Linked DNA regions of Canis lupus familiaris. The protein of the gene in region 5 binds, or shares a complex with, the protein of the main gene of each other region. Links are inferred from orthologs where the notes say so. Each region holds a gene or a part of one and is shown on either strand. Other genes may lie near its edges.

Region 1 (3,979 bases), on a different chromosome or scaffold from region 5:
TCTTACATTAATCACATCACAGTAAGACACATAAAAAGCTGAAATATTTTGTTTTTATGATACTCACTGAGAAACTCACAGAACTACTGGGTGCTATGCTCCCTAACTGATGCAGTTTAAACCAAACAAACATGAAGCTTTGAGTGGCCAGCCAGACCTATGTGGGCATCTACCCAGAATCCACGTGCACAGACAGGAAGAACACGTAGTTACAGATGCCATCTCTACTATGGATGGTAAATCTCCATTAGCTGAGATTGATGGCATCCCTCTCTTCCTCAAACTTAATGTGTAAAAAAACTAAGTGATTCCCCTCCCAGGTGCCTACGAAGAGGAACAAAAACACATGTTCTCGCAAACTACCTAGATAGGCATTGTCATCACAGTTAAAAACTGGAAGCACTTCAAGTGTCCACTGACAAATGAACAGATGGGTGGACAAAATGTGGTGCATCCACATGATGGAGCAGGACCTGGCCACAGAAGGGATGGCGTGCTCTACACGGCTCCCCCGTGTGTGAAGCGCCTGCAACACATAATTCCGGGGATGGAGAGTGGACTGGTGAATACCAGGGAGAATGGCCAGTGACTGTAGCAGGGCCTCCTTCCTGACAGAAATGTTCTGGAATTAGCCTGGGCAATGGCTGCACAACCATGTGAATGTACTAAAAACCACTGAATTGGATGCTTATTTAAAATGGTCAACCTTATGGTATTTAAATTCGATCTCAGTTTCTATTTTTTAATTTTATTTTTTTTTTAAGATTTTATTTATTTATTCATGAGAGAAACAGAGAAAGAGAGAGAGAGAGAGAGGGGCAGAGACACAGGCAGAGGGAGAAGCAGGCTCCATGCAGGGAGCCCGACGTGGGACTCGGTCCCGGGTCTCCAGGATCAGCCCCTGGGCTGAAGGCGGCGCTAAACCACAGAGCCACCCGGGCTGCCCTCGATCTAAGTTTTTAAAAAACGCTGTCCCTAAACCCTGATTCTCTCCTCACTCCTGCTGTGCTGTCCCAATCCTAGCAATTTATGTCAGAATTGAGCAAAACTTTGAGAAAAACACTGTCTTCAGTCTTTCAGATATGGTAACCTGTCTAACAGGAAAATCTTTGCTCAGTAAATCTACATCACTGCCTTTAGGAATCGATATTGTGCTTCTGGTAATAATCAACAACTCAGACATAAAACCAATAAACCTGACAAGTTTACTAGTAAATGAAACAAGAGGCTTTAGAAGTCAGTAACACAGCGCTAAACCATCAATCTGCCCTCTTCCCCATGCTATGAAAAGCCATGTGGGAAGCCGAGGTTGGCCCACAAAGGCAGGGCAAAGGTGCCAGGCAGCAGGGAGCCTCTGAGAGGCACATCAGGCCAGCAGCAGGGACCAGGGCCAGTCGAGAGCATACATCAGACCCTGGCAGGAGAGACGGGGGGACAGGAGCCCTGGTGTGGGTGAAAGAGGCTCACGTCCAGGCTCACATCCAGCCAGCAGAGCAGCTCCCTCTACATCTCGTGGAAGGTTGTACAATCCCCTCTGAGCACCTGTGTCTGGTCTTCAACAGAGACGTGGATAGGCCTATGGTCAAAGGCAGTGACCAGCTACTAGTTATAGAAGCACAATGCCTGTCATTAGAAAGCCTCCAGAAGCTGACTAGACGTGCATGAATGAGGTCTGTGTCACACCATGAATCATACCATGTTTATGCTCACATGGAAAAAGCCCACAGGATTCTACAGAGCTCTCTGGACATGAAATTTTATGTTTTTCTCACTTTCTTCTACCACTTTTTAAAAACAGTAAACATGTACAGATCTTCCTCAACTGGGGATGGGGCTATGTCCCAAGAAACCTATCATAGGTTGAAAAAATCTTAAGTCACAAATTCATCTAACACCCCTAACCTACCAAGTATCACATGTTCGCCCAGCCCACCCTAGATGTGCTCAGAACATCCACGTTAGCCTATAGCTGGGCAAAATCATGTCACACAAATACCGTGCGAGAGAGCTCATGGAACTTACCGAACACAGTGCTGAAAGGGGCAAACAGAAGGGCTTGCAGGGGATGCGGAACAGTGGTCGGCCTGGTGGCTACTGACTGCATGACTACGGGCTGATTGGGAGCCGCTACCTCACATCACCAAGACCAGACTGCACGCTGCCAGCCTGGGGACAAGACCCCAATTCAAAATTTGAAGTACAGTTTCTACCAAGCATGGATTGGTTGTGAGCCATCATCAAGTTGAAACACTGTGAGGCTGACCGCTTTGCTTTCCTCCGCGGCAAACACACAGAACAGGACAGGAAGCCGTACCTACCGCCTCTCAGGCAAAGGAAAGAAGCTTTGCGGGCGCACCTTCTGAGTTGAGGGTGATGAGGGTGACGTTGTTGCCAATGTTCTGACTTCCTGACTGTCCACAGTTGGAAAAGGAGTCGCTGGCCTCGGACCCGCTCTCCCCGTCCTCGTTGTGGCTGTCCTCTTGACCCGGCACCTTCACCACAATGGTGTTCTGTCGTCGCCCGGGCACCGCGCTGAGCGGGAAACAAAAACACCAGCCAATGTTGTGAGCGTGCCATGAGCAACAAGCAGACACTAGCACTGAGGCACTGCCATGTTCTTCTCACCTTCATTTATCAGAGACTCTAAGCTGCGCATGGAGCAGCAGCTCACAAGTCTCCCCATACAGCTCTCCCTACCAAGATTAACAGCAACTGAGCAGCACGAAATAGTCTGGGGTTGGAAAGAAACCGTATGAAATTGCAAAGTTTACAATCATGTTTGTATCACAAGAGAAAAAAAATCACAACCCACTGTGACTCAAGGCCTAGAATGCAACTCTCTGATCACAGAGGTGATCCTGCAAAACGTGGACATTTGAGTAACTTTTTAGACTATGCAAAGGAAAGACTGGATTAAGAGAAAGTGAACCTGGAGACTTTTCACTGATCCAATCCACTCCCTACTTAGACCTACCAGAAGCAACTAGACTCTGTTAATGGCCATTATCACTCCCAACTATTCCCACCAACAAAATCCACTGAAATGGATCTAAAAAGCCAGCCAAGAACTTCCTAAGGGACAGTTTCACCACCCTAAGGGGTCCTGATATGGGGCTGTAAGATACTGCCAGGAAAACAGGACATAAGTCACCAGCTCCAAAAAAGGCCCAAAGCATCTGTATTTATTGCCTGGAGACATGCTACGCAGCTCTTCCAAGACCGCCTCAACAACATCCCTTCGCGGGCACTGGTGGGCACAAAGAAAGTGGAAGAAATGCCACCTCCCTGCTTACAGAGACAAAACATGCTTCCTATCCTGGCTGTGCCACGGGGAGGGGGCTCCACCTTCTGGACTCGATTCACAGCAGCCTGCTCAAGCTGCCCTGGCTCCTAATCGCTCGGGGTCAGCCCCTGGCATGCCTGACCCTGTGTCTCACCACTGGCAAGAGCTCCCTGGCCCCCAAGCATCTAGCCAGGCCTTCTCCTGCCCCCCAGCGCAGCAGGCCGCGGCACTATGGGGCCCTCAGGAGTGGCTAGAACAACAAAGGGCACAGGACACAGCTGGGGGAGGAACGATCTGCAGACAGGACCCAGAGAAGAGGCCAAATGGAGCTCTGTGAACACACAGAGGGGAGCCACAAACAGAGGGGCCCTCTCGGGGCACGTTACCAGGCCACGCTGGGCCCAGAGCCCTACACAGGGGCACCCGCGGTGGCCTCCATCATCGCATGATGCCTTTTGTGCACTCCCGTGTCTGACCAAGGTTGCATTTACAAAGTCTCAAGAGAAAAAGGTGGGAGGAAAAACATCGTCACCCTGAAGGGCCTCCATCACTTAGCACACTAAGGCCGTGCATTGGCCTGACACGCTGCTAGACAGACAGGTGAGAACACGTGGTGGTCGGGGGGGGACGCAGCAGAGCCGTCTCCCCGGCCGAGTCACCCCCCTGTGGCGGACGCGGCACCGCCCCGACCACACA
Region 2 (4,769 bases), on a different chromosome or scaffold from region 5:
CAGGTCAATCAGGAGTTCTGACTAGAAGTCTGATGCAATTCTAATAATAAAAACAGGCATCGAAGTCTTCCTAATAAGCACAATATGTTTCAGGGACAGTCTTTCAAAAGATGAAGCTTGTGTTTGTGTGTGTGTGTGTGTGTGTGTGAGGGGGGATTATTTAAAAAGGATGCTTGAAGGTAAAATGCTGGCAACTAGGGGCCTGCTGCAGGCAGCCCAAGCTATGGCTTGGCATCAGGTGCCCGAGGGCTGAATTTGCTGCTTGTATATTTCCCTTGGTATATACAAAATATTGGCTTCACATTTAAATCTGGAACCTACATATAATTTATCAATCTTTGTTGGAAAAAAAAAAAATCAAGATTCATTCAACCTTCCTCACTTCCTTTCCTGCCAGGCACCTCCTTAAGAAACACCCTTTAACCCTGCCTGGGGCAAACATTATGCACCGGACATTGATCACACTCGGGACAAAAGCAGGGCACATCTAGGGCAAAAGGGCAGAAAGCCCTGATCTCCTATCCCACCTGAGAAGAACCTGGTGTCCCATACAGACAAAAAGAACGGATTTTATTAACAAAACTGACACTTCACAGCAATTTACATTATTTGCCTATAGTACCTTACGTACTTTTAAATGTTGTATTTTATAAAAATACACTATTTTTTTCACATACACAGTGCTGCACACACAGCAGTCAATAAATGAAAGTGAACCGAGTCCCCTTAATGATGCTATAGCAAAATACTAACATCAGCTAGGAGCTTATCTGTAATAACGATAATGAATTACAGAGTCTGCAGCAATGGTAAGAAAATTCAGACTAAATGACATTGAGCCTGAGAAGATTTATTTATATAAATATACAGATATATAGATATATATATCCTTGCACACACACACACACACACACACACAGAAAGTATACTGGTATCACTGTTATTTCCATATCATTTGGTCTCCATGGATACCATCCAACTTCTGACAGAAAAAATTCACTGACAATATTATATTTCACTGTTAAATTCTTTGATGCTTTACATAAAATAGCTATTCTGTATTTAATTCCTTGCCGTTATCCATAATACTCTCAGAAGAAGTAAATCCCTTTTTGCTGAAAATTCTGTAAGAGAAAGTCAGTGATCAATCCATAGTCCTGATTTCCTGGCTTTTTCGCATTAATAATAGTGACAGATTTCTGAAAGTTAATGCCTTACACATTTGTAGACTGCTGTAACTTCTATAACCTTCTCCCATACACAGTCTCTCCTCTGTTCCCCAAAGCAACCCTATCAGATAGGCAGTTAAGTATTATTATCACCTTCCATAGAAGTAACCCCAGAAGGTAATCACTGTTATTTATCTTTCGGTTGCCTATTATCAGCTCACCGACCACAATACAATTTCCCCAGAGGGTAAGGAAGTTGTTTTCCTGTTCCGAGTAGAACCCACAGAGCCTAGCACTGTGTCTGGGTGCAGAGTGAATGTCCCAGGAATATTTATTAAATGAATAAATAAAGTCCTTCCTCTGCTTTACACCCTTTTTGGTATATAGCACAAAACAGAACCATGTCCCAGATACCCCATTTAGAGTTCTGCTCTCTATCAAAAGGAAATTGTGTGAAAATGTTCTAGAAACAACCAAGCTCGTATCTGATAATCCTAAGAATAAAAGTACAGTGTCCTTGCAAACCTGAAGCAATGGATGCACACCAAAAGTTAAGTATCCAGAGTCTCGAATCTTCCACTACTAGTTGTAAGCTTAACAGCCTTATTAACTGGCTTTGGTATATGGAATATCTGCCTAATAAAGTCTTTCAGAAGGCACAGGAAAGCCGGGCCATAGTTCATAGAGCTGTCAGTACTTAAGGACAACCATTACTTTGCCATAATTTGCTTCCAATTCAACTACAAACTCTCACTTTTGATGCCGGTGACATTTTTACAGGTAAGTCAAGTCTGAAATATGCAAAATTACCTTTTACTTTCCAAGATCAAAAGGAAAAAAAAAAAAAAAAAAGGACAACTCCCTGAGGACGAAGTATATAAATGTTTAATATTAGGAAGCGATTACAAGTCATCACAGAACTCCTGAATCTAAAGAAGCGAAAATCTTGCTTCTTACATAACAGGCCGAGTTATAAATTATAATCGTTCACTGATTGCAGCGAAATTCCGGACTTTACCGTCTATCGATCAACAGATGTTCCAAGGTTACCCCGTAGAAATGCCCGTTTCATTTCTCAATATTCCATGTCTGAAGTCTCCTTAGAAAAGTCGAGTTTTTCCAGGACGTTCTAGGTTCCTACTTCTACCGCTGCCCCCTCCAAAAAAGGAAGCACGGGGCGCTGGGGAAACTGCTGGATCCTGGATCTGCTGGGCGCCCCGAAGTGGGGCAGGGATGGGCCCCCGGGCGCCGGGAGGCGAGCGCGCATCCAAGACCACCCGCCCTCGGAACCACGTCGGCCAGCGGCCCCTCGCTGCACCTGCCCTGAGAGCACCAAGTGCAGGCTCCTAGCCCCCCCCCCCAGCCCCCCACGCCGTGTGCAATCGGTCTGAACCCTGATAAGTGACTGCAGGCTCGACAGCAGCCTCGGTGATTCCTGAAAATCCCCAACAGGAAATGTAACCATCCTCCACCCTCCCCAGCCATTCATCAAAAGCAGACCGAGCCACTGCAACAGGGGAGGCCGGGGGGTCGGGGGGCGCGCAGGAGGCGCAGGGGGCACAGGAGCGCCCGCACTTTTCCAGCTTTGGAGACACTCCGCGTCTTGGGATTCCGTGACCCTGCACGCGGAGCACTACCCACCGCCCGCACGGAGGGAGGAGGCGGAGGAGGGACGGGGCGGGCAAAATGTCCCCAAGTTGCAGAGACTGTCCTCCGGGGCTGCCGAGGAGTGCGCCCGGGCCTGCCCGTGCCAGGGGGCGCAGCTCCCGCCCCCGCCCCCGCCCCCGCTCCCGCTGCAACAGGGCAAGGGCGGCGAACGTACCGGGACCTGGGGCCGGGGCCGGCGCGTCCTGGCGGGGGGACCCGGTCGCATCCGCAGCCCCCCTCCTCCCCCGAACTTGCGGAGGCTCCGCGGGCCCCGCTCGGTGGCCGGGCCGGGCCGGCGGGGCGGGGAGGAAGTGGCGGCCGCGCACCAACCACGTTCGGCCGGCGGGCGAATGCCGCTCGGCGCCCAGAGCGGGGTCGGAGGGCGCGGGGCGGGCACTCGCGTCCCCACCCCGCCCCGCCCGCGCCGCGGACCCCCGGGGGACGCCCGCCCCCGCGCCTGCCAGCGGGGCGCCGCTCGCTCCCCGGAGGCTCCCCGCCCCCACCGCGCCCGCGCCGCGGCCGAGGCGGGTCGGGCCCAGCGCGCCAGGCCGGCCCGGGGGCGCCCGCGGGGACCCGGCGGCGCCGGGCGCTAGGCCGCGGCCGGGGCGGTGACCCCTCGGCGCGGCGCCCTCCCGGGACGCGCCGCCGGAGCCCCCCGCGCGCCGGGACCAGCGCGGCGACAAAGCCCCGGGGCCAGGCCGGGCGCCGGCCGGCGGGAAGGAGGGCGCGGCGTCCCCCCGCGGCGGCGGCGGCGGCGGCGGCCCAGCTCCCGGGCAGCCGGGCGCGCCGGCCAGGCCCCGCTGGCACCCGCCGCCCGCCGCCGCCGCCCAGCACCGTGCCCCGGGCCCGCCGCGGGGCGCCCCACCAAGTTTCCCCTCGCCGGGGCCCGGGGCGCGGGGCGCAGGCAGCGGGGCGCACGGCGGAGCCGCCCGGAGACCGCGAGCCCCGCTCCCCTCCTTCGGATCCCGCGGCGACGGCGTCTGTAAACACGCACACGCACACACACACACACACGCACGCACACGAGAATTTTGTTTTAAAAGGAGGCCCGACTCCGGCGGACCTGCGCCCACACACCCAACACCTGGGGCGCAGAATCACACAGAGCAGGTCTGTGTCCATGGAGCCACCTCTCCGCATCTGCAAATCCAAAAGTGAAATTAAACCTCCACCGACCTCCTCCTCCTCCTCCTCCTCCCTCTCTACCTCCTCCTCCTCCTCCTTGCAGCCTCAGCAGCCCCAGCAGCCTCAGCAGCCCCAGCAGCAGCAGCAGAACCTGCTTCCCCTAAACATCAGACGATCCATCAGAGCGCCGACTGCTCCTCCAAAAATCAGTATTAATATTTATGAACCCCCAGCATTTTCCGGCTGCGACTGTGTCAAACCATCAGCACGCGCGCGCAACACACGCACACGCACACACACACACACACACACACATCCCCTCCAGTGCTCAGCAAACATGCCCTCGAGAAAAACACACACGCACAGTCACAACTATTATTTGAAAAATGTTACCTCTCAGTGTGCTTTTTCACACTACCAATACAATCCCGCAAGGTTTAAGTGTTGCTAGGGTGTGTGAAATGGAAATGAAAGCCCGTCAGTTGAATAATCGCAGGAGCAAAACTAAAAGTTACTCCCCAGCTTGCCTGAGAACAGTCCAGATCGAAAGCAAAACAAGGAGAGGAAACTGCGAAGCGCAGAGGCTGGAAATCCCCCCACCCCCCGCCCTCCTCCCTGCCTGCCTCCCTCCCTCCCTCCCTCCCTCCCTCGCTGCTCGCTCCCTCCCTCGCCTCCCCCCTCCGCCCTCCCCCCTCCGCCCTCCTCCCTCCGCCCTTCCTCCCCAGTGTTTGTTTCGAGCTTGTGCAACCGGGAGGTGGAGGCGGAGGGAGGGCGCGAGCGGCCGGGCCGGGAGGTGCGGAAGTTCGCCGCGGCCGCTCATTGGCGCCC
Region 3 (3,979 bases), on a different chromosome or scaffold from region 5:
TGAGGGAACCTTGTTTCGATACAGTAATTAACTGGCCAGCCATCTCGCTATCGATACTCCTCTGTGCAGAGGCCCCAGCAAATAATGAAGTAATGAACAGCCAAAGTGATCTAACTATCGACCCGCTATTTACAATAGTCACCACCGATGCATTTAATGATCCGCTCACCAGGTCACATCCCCAGCAGGGGGCTAAGGAAGCCCTGGGGCTCTGGGAAATGCTCGGAGTGACTCTGGCTGTCAGCAACAAGCACCTGAGGCTCTCCTCTGGCCCAGGCCGGGGGCAAGAAAGCAGAGCTCCATAACGCAGCATCCTCTCCCTCTCCTTACTGCTTCCCTGTTCTCCCCGCGGCTTGTGGACGCATCCTCGCCCCTCGGCCAGCAGGACCTGTCTGAGGTCACCTCTCCCCCCATCCTCTGTCCCCAGGTCAGGACAGCTGTTTCACATGATCAGAGGAGGCTTCCTACTTTGCTAGATTCCACTACCTTCCACTACCTCCCACTACCTCATAGGAAGTCCTTCTGAATATCCACCTCCCCCCCCACCCCAAAGCCGCAACCAGCAGGGTGCTGCTGGTAAATGTTTAACAACTAGCTCTCCAAAAAGGCTCAATTTTGTAGCATTTGCCTGTGTCTGAGGTGATGTGGCTGTACTTGGGAGTCAGGGAGAGACGTGCAGGTGGACTTCCATGAGCTGGTGCAGGCCAGCTCCAGCATCCGCCACCCCCCAGTTTGGCAATTCTGGCCACCACGGCCACTTCCCCTTGCTCTGTCCTCAGACCCCACACCCCCATCCTATTTCTTTTACATAAAAAAGAATGTGAAGGCCCTCTGAAATGGTAAACATCATACAGGTAGAGGGGTCTGTGAATATATCTGTCTGCGATCTGACTCCCAGCATCACAGCCCTCATCCTAACCTAACTCAGTGCTCCCCTAGCCCCCAGGAACAAGAAGCCCTGCCCAGCGTTTGCTTTTAGTCTTCAGGCCAACCTGACCCCAATTCAGGGCTCACAGATCGAAGTCATCTATGCACTATTGGTACGGCTGCCTGGAAGGTGGGTCTGGGCTCCTGGAAAGTGTGCTGTGATCCACTAGCAACGTGTGCCTCGGCCTTGCAGGGGGCAGTGGCGCCTGAGCCGTGCTAACCTTTCCCAGAACACGCTCCACTCTCCGTCTCAGCCTGGGACCATGCCCACCCAGGCTGCTCTGGAGAACCACCTGCCCCCTGCCACTTATACCCAGGTCCCCGCGCAAGCTGGGGTGCCCTCACCAGTCCTCCGTACCTGTGTGCACCCTATAGTGTGTCTCCAGCTGGTGCTTGAGGCTGAACTTCTTGCCACAACCATTGCACTCGTAGGGTTTCTCGCCCGTGTGTATGCGTTTATGACTCTTGAGTGTGCTCTCATCCCGGAAGCAGCTGCCACAGAACTCACACTCATACGGGTGGTCGCCTGTGGGGACAAAAGGCTGGATCAGAGCCTCGTCTCCCCTACCCCCATCCCCTCTTCAAGAGGCGGCAGGGCACATTTAATGCACCGAGAAGATGAGACTGCCTATCTTCACCACCATTCTTCAAAAACATATAAGGACCCGTGGCCTCCTCTGGGCCCCAGTGTGAACCAGGGAGCTTGTATGCACACACATGTCCATACTTTACAGGGCCCTAGAGTTCATCTGTGGGTCAAGGGCCAATCCCAGGAAGAGAAAGCCCATTTGTTTCAGGGATGAACAGTTGACCCCAGAAAGCAGACCCCCACAAGGGGAGGGCAGACCCGTGGGCTTTGACACCTTGCCCCCCAACTTCTCCTGCCACCCTCTTCCTTTCCCATAGGTAGCCTAACTGCCTCTCCTGCCCTCAAAAAAAAAAACCCTCCAATTTGGGGAACTAGAACACACTGTCCCCCAAATGCCTTGTGCTACCTCCTCGCTCCACAGTTACAACAACTATCCCCTCTGCTTGATTTCCTCTTTCCTTGCTTCAATGAACTCCTACTCATCCTTCAAGACCCAGTTCACACATTACCGTGGTTTGGAAGTTTCCCTTCAACCTCTCCCACCAAGATAAACTGAGTCGCTTTCTTCTATCCTAAGAGAGAAGAAATACCTAGCATTGCGTTATTTTAGCAGCAGGATCATTTTTACGGGAATTTTTAATTGGAATGGTCTAACCTGCTGAAGGCTCACCACCATGCTGGGAGCCTTACACACATCTTATCATGTAATCGCTGCAACCACCTGACAAGAAACACACAATTCTCACCATATAGACGAGAAGAATGAGATGCTTAGCTGATCTCTAAGGTCAAATAGCTCATAAGCTGCTGAGTCAGGATACAGATCTGGTTTTGGAGTCTGAACGCTTGATAACTTATCAGATGGCTAAGTTGCACACAGCCCTGTCTCTCCTGCCACGCACACTGTACCCTGAGGATGGAAGCACCTTGAGGGTCAGAAGGGAGACTTGTCGATCCTTGTTGCCTGGGTACGTAGCACACGGACGACCCAGGGCAGATGCTCAGGCCTGGAAGCGGTGCCGTCGGCCTCCCTTCTGTGTGTGGCACCCATTAGCCCCCTGGAGGGTGAGAGGGTGGGGTGCTGGGATCCACCATCTTTTGCTTTGTACCCAAAGTGGAGGCTTTGGGGGCTGAAAGGTGAGGCCTTCGGCGACTTATTTATTACAGGAGTGAAGGCACAGACAATAAAGATAGATGGATCACCCCAGACTTTGTTCATGAATATTTAAATATCGCTGATTCGTCTTGTCACTGTAATTACAATTTCTCTGGGCTGCATCTCCAACAACCACAGTTTATGGTAAAGAATGGCCCACTGTATTTCACTTGTCCCTCTGCAGATGTGCGGGGCTGCCAACCGTGTAATGTCCTCTGCATTTCATACATTTTCTTCGGCTGCTGAAGGCTTAAGTCATCCACAATGACCTACGTTTTTTCATTATCCCCATGTCAAACTGCACTCGTGCCTGGGCATAAATTGTCCTTCTCGTTATAGACTCGCGTGCCTATGCCTTCACTTCCTCTTTAAAATGATATTTTACTCTCTTGTCTCTCTCCTCCTCAGGCCGCTAACCAAACCTCCCCCCTCTCAAACGCAGGCCCCCGTCCCCACATAAATTCTCATCTCTCCTGATGGTGCTGAAGGGTTTTTAAGGCTCTGTGGGGAGTGGATGCTGGGGTCTGCTCACTGCGGGCTCGCTCTCTCTGCAAGAAGCTCTGAAGACACAGAGCGGTGGTTGGGAGCACTCCCAGGCGGAGTCAGACAGGAGAAGCTGAAAGAGCAGAACCACATCTCCACATGGGTTCTCGCCAAGCTACGGGGTACAGCCCTGGCTGGCTCAGAGGCATGGGCAGGTCTGGAGACAGACCAAATCCTGGGCTTCCCGGCACCTGCCAGGGCCATACAGACCACCTGGTCCCCAGCCTCCAGCCCCACCAAACCCAGGGGGAGTAGAGGTCTATGCAGACCCTGGTCCTCACTAGCTGTGTGTCTGTCTGAGTAAGGGCCAGTCTGCGCAGGCCTGTACTGCGTGCTACTCTCTCTGTGCAGACGTCTGCACACAGCTTCCCCGCCACCCCCGCCCCCCCGCGCCTCGTTGACATCCGACTCCCCCTCCTTGCCGAATTGGCAACGATAACGACTTTAATCAAGGATTCAGTATCCTCATTAAGATATAAATAAATAAATAAAGCAAGGGCCACGTGAGACTTCCAACGAGAGCCGGTAATTAAAACGTACATCGGCAGCCACCCGACTGAGGGGGGGGGGGGGGGGGGGGGGGAGGCGGGCCGGGGAGGGAGGGAGCCGCCGTCTGTGCCTTCCCCTCCAGAGGGGGGCCCTAAGAGTTTAAAAAACAAAGGGTTAAAGCAGAGAGGTTTGTTTGATCAGATTTTTATGAATTTAATTATGAAGTGGATCACATGTTAAATGAGTTTAAATAGGAAATCTCCAGAGTCAGCCCA
Region 4 (4,426 bases), on a different chromosome or scaffold from region 5:
TAACCATCCGCATCTTAATTTTTAAAACTAAAACCTCAGAAAATTAAATTGCCCCTTATTCTTAAGAGATGTAAAACCTGCCTGTGCCGTAAATGAAATCAAATGCTGCCTACACCAACTGTACATTCCATTTTCCAAATAACTTCCCTGGAATGCTGGTGAGCTGCTATGTTTAATATGAATATTTCCAAAGTACTGGATTTAAAGAAATAGCAATGGTTCCAACTTTTCTTACCAAAAAAAAAAAAAATTCCCATCTGAGATTTATGCCCATCCTCAAAACACCCTTTTGAGTTCAGAGCAGATGTGTGCAGTGTTTATACTAAGAAAACCACCAGTACATAAACAACCCACTAAAAACACCACTCAAGTTTTGCTGTGCTTTTCTTCATTTCCTGTGTATTTATTTTGGTGTTAATATAACGTTAACTTTCGTAGTAAGGAAAATAGCAGCAGATGTTTAAACCAAACAAACTATAGCAAATCATCCTACATATCTACTCAACTTTCAAAATCAAAGTTTCTTCCTCCCCCCAAAAGAGGGAAGCTTCAAGCAGACTACTCTCAAGTATATTACAGACTACAGAACAACAAATCAACCTGGTGGAGCTTTCCGTAAGCCTTTCCTCACCACCCCCAACTAAAGACATAAAAAAGTAATGTGGTATCAATTTCCTAGCAATCCCTCTATCCCTCTCTTAAGCGGATCGTTATGTTTTATTTTGTTTTGGTTTGGTTTGAGAATATCATATTACACAATGACAAAGACAAGCCACCAGATATTGCCTTAAGACTTTGTGATTTCTTGATCACTGAAAAAAAAGATGTTTTTAAAAACTGCAGTATATTAATTTCACAAGAAATGAGCCCAGTCACTCGCTACTTCCACCACCCTGAAGAAGTCTGCCTTTTTTAAAATGAGTGATTTCAGAAGTAACACGATAGTTAAAAACAGCAGATTCAAAGAAAGCAAACACCAAAATTCTCATTAGTGGAACAAGCAGGAGTTTAAATACGTATAACTTTTTAGAAAAAATTTTAAGTATGAGATCCTTATCCTGAGTGAAATAAAAAACAGTATGAATGAGATTTTATGTTCCTTGAAGGGGAAAGGGTAAGTTTTCAACTGACTAGGTAACAGGCCTGAAATTTTACATGAAAAATACAAGTTTCCTCAATGTTTTCTTTTTCAAAAGAAACGTTCAGTTCACTATTAAGGGAAAACATGGAAACTCCTACTGAATCAGAAAGGAGATGTCTCCTCCTCGATTTGTATTTGGTTACAACAAAAAACGCCCCTCCTGCCAAGCTGAATTCCCCCGCAGATGCCTCTCCGGCCACTCAAACCCAGGCCATTTCCACTTTTTCAAATTGCACGTAGATAATGTTCCAACAGATCAAGAAATCGCTTTTTCTCTTCTTCCTACCAACAGGGGCAGCTTGAAATGCTACAAGGCGGTGGGGAAACACCTCACAGTTTAGCAGGAGGTGATAAACAAGAAGAATTCTGAGTAGGTTTCTTTCTTTCTTTCTCTCTTTCAATTTAGCTTTCTGGTTGGTGTGTTGTGCAATCACTTCCACAAGGGACCGGAGTGTGGAGGGAACATCCTTCAATGTCAGAACTCTCTAGAGCAGTACAGGAAATGGGAAATCAGACAAAGAGCCAGTCTGTGCTTTGTGACATGGGTGCCCTTCCAGTCCCCCAAACTGAATAGAAAAATTCTTCATTGTTTGGGACAATAGCTCCTGAAAACAAAAACTCACTGTAACTTTCTGTTCCCCTCTACATGAAAATCCAAAGCACTGACTGGAATACAACATGAATACTGTAGATAGTGTATGTTTAAAATAAGTATCAGAGCTGGGGGTGGGGGAGGTGACCAACTCGTTTAACTTTTCCTGGTCCTAGAAGTTCTTCCTCTAAAGAGAGCACCAGCAGAAAACAAAAATAATCATATTATCAAGAGTTAAAAATTTTGAAGAGTTAATGTTGCAAGCAAAAGGGAAACTTTTAACAGTTTATATTTCACTGCCTTCCCTCCCCCACTGTAACCCTGAAAGCTAAGATAGAAACAGCAAACTTTGTATTGAAAATAGTGCATAATAAATACTCGCCTTTCAAAGCACCCTAAAATCCCAAGAAAGAGAGCAAAATACACAGAAGGCATTCAGAACCCTAAAGGAGGAGTGGCCTTAACAAAAGCAATAGGAGAGCAATTTCTAGAACAGAACCTCTACCTTCGTAGCACAGAATGCCGATATTGTTGTTCATCTTGTCCAAGTACTGGTAGTTCAACAGGTCCATCTTCATAAATAGCATTTATTGGGCTAGCACAGAAAACCAGCTCTTTGCTTTCCGCCCCCAAAGAGTAGGTTTCAAAAATCAATTATTACTGAGTAGCTCCTGGCTCTTCTCAAACTTCACAAAGACAGCGAGGCCCAGCCTCAGACGATCAAAACAAAGTATGTAAAAGTAAAAAAAAAAAAAAAGAAAGAAAGAAAGAAAGAAAAGAGAAAACAAAAACACGCCACCAAAAAAATCAAAGTCACACGGAAACCCTTGGAGGGTTTATTTGTAGACAGTATAGGTTTTGTATCCTCGATGGAGCACTTAAAAACCGTTTCGGAAGTCTTTGCAGGTCTTTCTTCGCAGTAGAAAAGGGGTGAAGACGAAGACCACGAAGCACATTTCCTCGGACAAAGCCGCGCTCGCCCTCCTCACAGCCCGCTGCAAGGGAACCGCGCTGACATGCTGGCTATGCTCGGTATGACTCGAATGCGAGCGAGCTTCCTCTCCCCGCCGAGGGCCACGGAGCATGCTCACTGCGCCCCGCAGCTCCTCAAATGTCAGGGATATTTTCTGCACAAGATCAGTCTCTAAATGCATTAAGTGCTTGAAAGAAAGAGAAAGAGGAGGTGGAGAGTCTGAACAGAGGGGCCGGGGCAGAGCTGCTCTGGACAGGAAGCAGCCCTGCCACTGCAAGAACCCTAGGAGGGAGAGAAAACCCAGGAAGTTTCTTTTTCGGGAGCTGAGTAAAAAAGTAAAAAAAAAAAAAATCCATCATGGAAGCAAACTTCCACAGAATTTAACCTTGGCTGGGTCTTCACTGTGGGGATTCGGGAACCCAGGCTGCTGCGTTTGCCGTGGTACATATACCATGCGTTATTTGGAAGGTTTTTTGTTTCTTTTAAAAATTGGTTTACGATGTCCTTTTACACTTCTACACTTCGGGCTGTATGTTTCAAATTTTGATCTGAATGTTACATAGAACTTCTCTCCTGCTCCTCATGACATGAACCGGGCGGAGATGGTATCACTTTTTTTTTTTTTTTTTTTTTGGTATCACTTTTTTACAGCAGAGAAAACTGAGGCTCAGAGGGATTAAATGACTGACCCAGGACCCCAAAATAGTTGGTAAAACTACTTTTAGGGTATTTTTTCCCCTAATAATTTTCCTTAAAGAAAAAAAGGAGGGAAAGAGAGAAAAAAGAGAAAACAGAGAAAGTGGTTTAAGCAAGGAAGACCAAAAGCCTATTTGAAATGACGGGTCATGAGGAGAATAAAGGCATTTTCATTCGGCACATATGAAAGCTGTTTCATCTATTTATTAGGGGCCAGTAGCATGTTGCTATGCTGTTCCTATACTGTTAAACTGGGGATCCTGGGTGGCTCAGCAGTTTAGCACCTGCCTTTTTGGCCCAGGGTGCGATCCTGGAGTCCCGGGTTCGAGTCCCACATCGGGCTCCTGGCATGAAGCCTGCTTCTCCCTCCTCCTGTGTCTCTGCCTCTCTCTCTCTCTCTCTATCATAAATAAATAAATAAATCTTTAAAAAATAAAAATAAAAAAATAAAAAATAAAACCCTTAAACTTCGTATCTCCAGTATCTAGTACAAGTAGGTACCCAAAAGCTGTTTACTGATGAGTACATCACTGAATGTCCAGAGCCTTTAAGCGCACAAAGAGCACACTAGCAAACAGAGGGAGGAAATTGTTTTATCTTAGCAGGCTGTAGCTAGCTTTTGGCACCATAAATTGACTAATAATTCACCACAGGAAGTGTCTGTGTATTGATATGAATATATGCTATTTGGAGATTTAGAAAATATCAAGGAGTGTCATACTGTAGATCAAGACCTGAAATTTTAATATTCTACAGAGCTGAATAAATAATTTCAGGGGATTTTTAAAATCCATCAGTAGTTGCATTTTGGATGACAGATGTTCACAGCAAATTGTTCTAATCAAATCTTATTAGAAGATTAACAAAACACCCAATACTACTGCTATCACTGGATAGCAGCGGGTGAAGTAGGCAACAGAAAAATCAAGATTTCACAAGCTTTCATTTATAAGGGTATCTATTAACATTGGGTTACATATTCTAGATACTGAATAAGCTGTACAGAAAGATATATATATATATA
Region 5 (4,422 bases):
ACAAATACAGCTAGAAGCATTTCGGATTTGCCAAGTGCTCTAAAAAAGCAGCGCAAGTCACAGCCTACATTGAACGGTAACTGTCACCAGGATAATAAAGCACAAAGATATGCTAATAACATTAACAAAAGAAGAAAATGCCTTTATAAGTACATACCTTTTGTCGTCAAAAAAAAAATATAGAAACACAATGTATTCAAAAAAAAATCAAAATTATACAGCCATGTTTATGAAGTCTACATTTCCCTTGTCTTGGATATATATATATATATATATATATGCACATATATATATATATATATATATGAGTGTGTGTGTGTATATATATGTATATATGTATATATACATATATATATATATATATATATATATATGGAGATATATACACAATTCAAGCAGTTTTAGTTAAGGGTAATCATTGGGTTTTTCTGAAACCGGAAAGTCACGAGTCTCTCTCTTTTTTCACTTTCACATCTCCAGCAAGGATGGTTGCAATTTCCCCTTGCATAAAGGCCCAGGGGACATTGGAGCCCACAAGAGGGCATTTTTCCCCACTGGGACAATAGACCTCTCCACTAGCTCCCTGCTGTTTGATGCTTTGTCTGGAGCAAGGGAAGCAGAACTTGTGCGAAGGGACAGACGGGCACTGCACAAAGTGGGTGTCCTCCAGCCGCTCGTGGCAGAGGGTGCAGCATAGAGGGGCGCTGGCTGCCAGAGAAGAGTCTGGGAGGCTGGCAGGGTGCACTGGCTCCAGTCCTCCTGTGTTGCCTGCCCCCTGGCCCCCCACCTCTCTGGGGCCTAGCCTTCTTTGGTTCATAGAGGACGGAGAGGGTGGACTGCTGCTATTCCTCCTGGTGGTGGAGTGAACCTGGTTGGCATCTTTTGAGGCATGACTGCCCCCTGCATTGTCTGCTACTAAGATCAGGGCTGCCATGGGCGACTGGCCGTTCTGAGCCGCTTCAGGCGGTGTGGTCCGGTTGGAATGAGGTGAGGCAGTGGGTGGTGGTGGAGACACAAAAGAGGATGTAGGAGTAATGGGGATCTTGAGCCCTTCGGTGGGTGTGGACAGCCATGGCTGTGCCTCTCCATTGATCTTAGGGGGGCCGACTTCACCTTCTGGTTCTGGCGAAGGCTTTCTCTTCCTTGCTGTTCTGGCAACTGAGAAGGGGGAGAAAAGAAAACAGTAAACGGATGTGCACTGAAAAGGACCTTTCTTTCACGAACACAAAACAAGATCCGCTAAAGAATTTCTATTCTCCCCAAGCCCCTATATAAAAATCTCACTCAGGAGTTTCAAGTGCACGTGCAACTCCCAACACTTAGGACTCACGGGGCTCTCAGGCAGTATTTGAAAATAAGCCACAGAACGCAGCACCGCAGTGACAGCCTGTTTTTACACATGCACGCACGCACGTCCGCCCCGTACCTACACGTGGAACCCGCGCATTCAATTGCTAACGGCCCCCAGCAAGGTAAAGGGTGGCTGGTGCCCTCCCGCTCCCACCCAAGAATGTGCTGGGAAAGGAAAACCCTGTGTCAGTGCCTATCAGCCCAGTCTGACTCATCTCTGTTATGCTGCTTCAGCACATGAACACGTTGCCACTAAGCACTGGTTCCGCCTCGGGCAGATCAGGAAGTTGGGTGTTTGTTGTTTCTGGGCTGGGGTTGAGCGGCGAATGGCAAGAGCACCCCCTCCGCTGTTCCGCTCCCCCGCTCGCCCCCTAGGTCCCCTCGCACTCCGCAGCCGCCCCTACCTGCTTTAGACCCGTTGGCCCCGTTGGCCTCGAAACCCAACAACCTGCCTGCAGTCAGGGCCGGCTCCTTCTTAAACTTGCTCTCGAAGGGCCCCGAGTGGCCGTGCTGGTGCAGCGCCAGCAGCGTGTCTCGCACGGTCTTGGGCCTGTTGACCCAGTCCTGCTCCCCGGGCCCGCGGCCTTTGCCCGCGCCCTCGGCTCCCAGCTCGGTGGCCCCGGCCGCGCCGGCCAGGCCGTCGGCGGCGCCGCGGTGCGAGGGCGGCGGCGGCGGCGGCGGCGGCTGCTTCTCCTTGGCCACCGCCTCGCGCGGCTCGTGCTCCGCGGCCGCGCTGCTCGACACGGACGCCGGCCGCTTGTGCGAGCTCAGTTCGGCGGGCTGCGCCGAGCCCAGGCCGGCGGCCGCGGCCCCGGACACGGCGGCCAGCGAGGCGGCGGCGCGGCCGCTGAGGCCGAGCGCGGCGGGCAGCGGCGTGGCCGAGCCGTTCATGAGCGGCACCAGGGTGGGCGGCACGGCGTGGCCGCGCCGCGGGTTCGGGCTCTGGCGGTTCAGCTCCGGGGGCTCCTCCAGCTTGGAGAAGCCGTTGGGCACCAGGATGCCGTTCACGGGCGGCGGCTGCGGCGTCGGCGGCTGGGCCAGGCCCGCGGCCGGGCGGCTGCCGCCGAAGTCGGAGGCGAGGCGCGGGGGCCGCTCGGCGGCGGCCGCCAGCGGGTAGCGCTCCAGGGCCTGCGGGGCGCGCGGGGCGGCCTCGGGGCCGCCGTGGCCCAGCTGCTGCTGCTGCTGCTGCTGCTGCAGGAGGATGTCCTTGGCCGACAGCGGCGGCGGCTTGGCGGCGGCGGGGGCCGCGGCGCCGGGCGGGGAGCGGCCCTCCGGGAAGCAGCCGTGCGCCCGCTTGAGCTGCCGCGCGGTCTCGATGACGAACTCGACGCGGTCGGCGCCCTCGTAGTTGACGCAGCCGCGGCACACGGGCTCGGTGAAGTCCCAGATCATGGCCCAGGGCATGCGGGGCAGGTCACACAGGTAGCACGACTGCCGCCGGGAAGCGGCCGCCACCGCCACCGCCGCGGCCATGTCCGAGGAGCCCGCGGCGCTGGAGGTGGAGGCGGAGGAGGAGGCGGAGGCGGAGGCGGAGGAGGGGGCGCCGCCGCTCCCCGCCGGCACCACGCGCGCCCTCCGCCCCCCCCAACCCCGCGTCTCTCCCACCAGCGGCGGCGGCGGCCGCAGAGGCGGCGGCGGCGGCGGCAAAGCCCGCGAAGGCTCGGCGCCCGCGCAGCGCCCCCGGGGCACGAGGGGCGGCGGGCGCGGGGCGAGGGGCTGCAGCCGCGGCAGCACGTCCCCCCGGCCGGCTCGGGCGCGGGCGCTGGCGGGCGGCGGCGCGGCGCGGCGCGGCGGGCGCGGCGGCGGCGGCGGCGGCGGCGGCGGCGGCGGCGGCGGGAGCTCGGCCGGGGCCGCGGCCGGCCTCCAGACCGGAGCGAAGACGGGCCGCGCGGGCGCGGGGGAGCGCAGCAGGTCGCGGCGGCGGCCGGCGCGGAGTGCAGGGCGGGGGGCGGGGAGGCCGGGGGGGCGGGGGGCGGGGGGCGGCCGCCGGGGCAGGCTCAGCCCGAGCGGCGGGTCATGCCGCGCCGAGGCAGCGGCCGGACGGCGTGGAGCACGGGCGCGGCGCGGGCCCCGGGTCGCTCCGCTGTTCCCTCACAGCTCCTGGCGTCGCCGCTCTCCAGCACCCGCGTCAGCGCCCAGCCCGCCTCAGCTCCGCCGCCACCGTCGCTGCTGCTGCTGCTGCCGCCGCGGCCGCTCCACTTCTACAGACTTGATTCTTCGACAGCCTCGCACCGCGCCTGCGCGGGCCCCCTCCCCTCGCGCGCGCGGGCGCGGGCGCGGGCGCGGGCGCGGGCGCGCGCCCGTCCTCCCCCGCGCTCGCGCCCTCCCCCGCCCCCTCCTGCCCTGCGCAGGGAGAACGGGCGCTGCCGGGAGAGCCGGCTCCGCGCCGCCCGCGCCGCCCGCCCCGCCAGCCGTGTCCCCGGCGGCTCACTTCCCTGCGGCCGCTCGGCTGCCTCCACTACTCGGTCACCCTCCCTGCCCTCCGGAACGTTTGGGCCGAACGCGGCTTCCCGCTCGTGTTTCTAAGAGCAAGGCCGCTCTGATTCGGGGCCGTCGGCCTCTTGAGGATGGGGATTTTCAATCTAGCGTGGTTCACAGTTTTGGTGCTTTTAAGGAGTTACACTCGAGCGCCACGAAGCGCTTTCACACTCGCGCCGGCGCTGCCCTCCAGCTTTACTAGCAGAGGCGGCTGGCCCTGCCCACGCCTGGGAGCGCGTGCACACGCCGCTCGGCGGACCCCCCGCCCCCACGGCGGGCACCGAGGCCTCCCGGCGGCGCCGGCCGACCCGACCGCCCTAGGGAGAACCGCGCGGCGGGCGCGTGACGTGGGCGCGGAGCCGCGGGCCCGCGTGCGCCGCCGCCGCCCAGTGCGCACGCTCCGCGCGGACGTGACTCGGCGCGGCTGGCCCGGGCTGCCTCACTGAAGGAACGCGCGCTCCGGGGATCCGGGGGTCCGGGGGTCCGGGGGTCCGGGGGTCCGGGGATCCGGGGTCTACGGCCAGCGCGGCCGCGTCACTGCGCAGCTCCGCCCCCTCCGCCGGCCGTGGGCCTCCAGGCCCCGCCCCCGGGGCC

The links.
Region 1: IRF2BP2 (region 5) and BANP share a complex: the UniProt entries of both Homo sapiens proteins name them as parts of the corepressor complex. The link is inferred for Canis lupus familiaris from reciprocal best matches to the Homo sapiens genes IRF2BP2 and BANP.
Region 2: the proteins of IRF2BP2 (region 5) and IRF2 are in contact, whole or in part, in a crystal structure (PDB 8YTG), measured with the Homo sapiens proteins. The link is inferred for Canis lupus familiaris from reciprocal best matches to the Homo sapiens genes IRF2BP2 and IRF2. Residues at the interface, in NP_892017.2 of Homo sapiens: His517, Phe518, Val519, Gln520, Pro522, Phe531, Leu557, Trp564, Ala565, Phe566, Met567, Glu570, Thr573, Ile574; in NP_002190.2 of Homo sapiens: Arg331, Ala332, Ser333, Val334, Ile335, Lys336.
Region 3: the proteins of IRF2BP2 (region 5) and ZBTB16 are in contact, whole or in part, in a crystal structure (PDB 8YTH), measured with the Homo sapiens proteins. The link is inferred for Canis lupus familiaris from reciprocal best matches to the Homo sapiens genes IRF2BP2 and ZBTB16. Residues at the interface, in NP_892017.2 of Homo sapiens: Thr516, His517, Phe518, Val519, Gln520, Pro522, Phe531, Leu557, Trp564, Ala565, Phe566, Met567, Glu570, Thr573, Ile574; in NP_001018011.1 of Homo sapiens: Arg285, Ser287, Val288, Ile289, Thr290, Ser291.
Region 4: the proteins of IRF2BP2 (region 5) and VGLL4 are in contact, whole or in part, in a crystal structure (PDB 8YTF), measured with the Homo sapiens proteins. The link is inferred for Canis lupus familiaris from reciprocal best matches to the Homo sapiens genes IRF2BP2 and VGLL4. Residues at the interface, in NP_892017.2 of Homo sapiens: Thr516, His517, Phe518, Val519, Gln520, Pro522, Phe531, Leu557, Trp564, Ala565, Phe566, Met567, Glu570, Thr573, Ile574; in NP_055482.2 of Homo sapiens: Arg161, Ser163, Val164, Ile165, Thr166.

The regions. Positions count from the first base shown.
Region 1 is NC_049226.1:65,688,667-65,692,645, forward strand, and holds part of BANP (protein BANP), read right to left. Parts: intron 2,533-3,979; coding exon 2,357-2,532; intron 1-2,356. UniProt on the Homo sapiens protein: Controls V(D)J recombination during T-cell development by repressing T-cell receptor (TCR) beta enhancer function. Binds to scaffold/matrix attachment region beta (S/MARbeta), an ATC-rich DNA sequence located upstream of the TCR beta enhancer.
Region 2 is NC_049237.1:46,981,600-46,986,368, reverse strand, and holds the start of IRF2 (interferon regulatory factor 2), read right to left. Parts: upstream 3,136-4,769; 5' UTR 3,043-3,135; coding exon 2,992-3,042; intron 2,482-2,991; exon of another isoform or gene 2,188-2,481; intron 1-2,187. UniProt on the Homo sapiens protein: Specifically binds to the upstream regulatory region of type I IFN and IFN-inducible MHC class I genes (the interferon consensus sequence (ICS)) and represses those genes. Also acts as an activator for several genes including H4 and IL7.
Region 3 is NC_049226.1:19,123,500-19,127,478, forward strand, and holds part of ZBTB16 (zinc finger and BTB domain-containing protein 16), read right to left. Parts: intron 1,454-3,979; coding exon 1,286-1,453; intron 1-1,285. UniProt on the Homo sapiens protein: Acts as a transcriptional repressor. Transcriptional repression may be mediated through recruitment of histone deacetylases to target promoters. May play a role in myeloid maturation and in the development and/or maintenance of other differentiated tissues.
Region 4 is NC_049241.1:6,902,918-6,907,343, reverse strand, and holds the start of VGLL4 (transcription cofactor vestigial-like protein 4), read right to left. Parts: upstream 2,960-4,426; 5' UTR 2,321-2,959; coding exon 2,239-2,320; intron 1-2,238. UniProt on the Homo sapiens protein: May act as a specific coactivator for the mammalian TEFs.
Region 5 is NC_049225.1:5,615,634-5,620,055, reverse strand, and holds the start of IRF2BP2 (interferon regulatory factor 2-binding protein 2), read right to left. Parts: upstream 2,881-4,422; 5' UTR 2,824-2,880; coding exon 1,755-2,823; intron 1,159-1,754; coding exon 443-1,158; 3' UTR 1-442. UniProt on the Homo sapiens protein: Acts as a transcriptional corepressor in a IRF2-dependent manner; this repression is not mediated by histone deacetylase activities. Represses the NFAT1-dependent transactivation of NFAT-responsive promoters.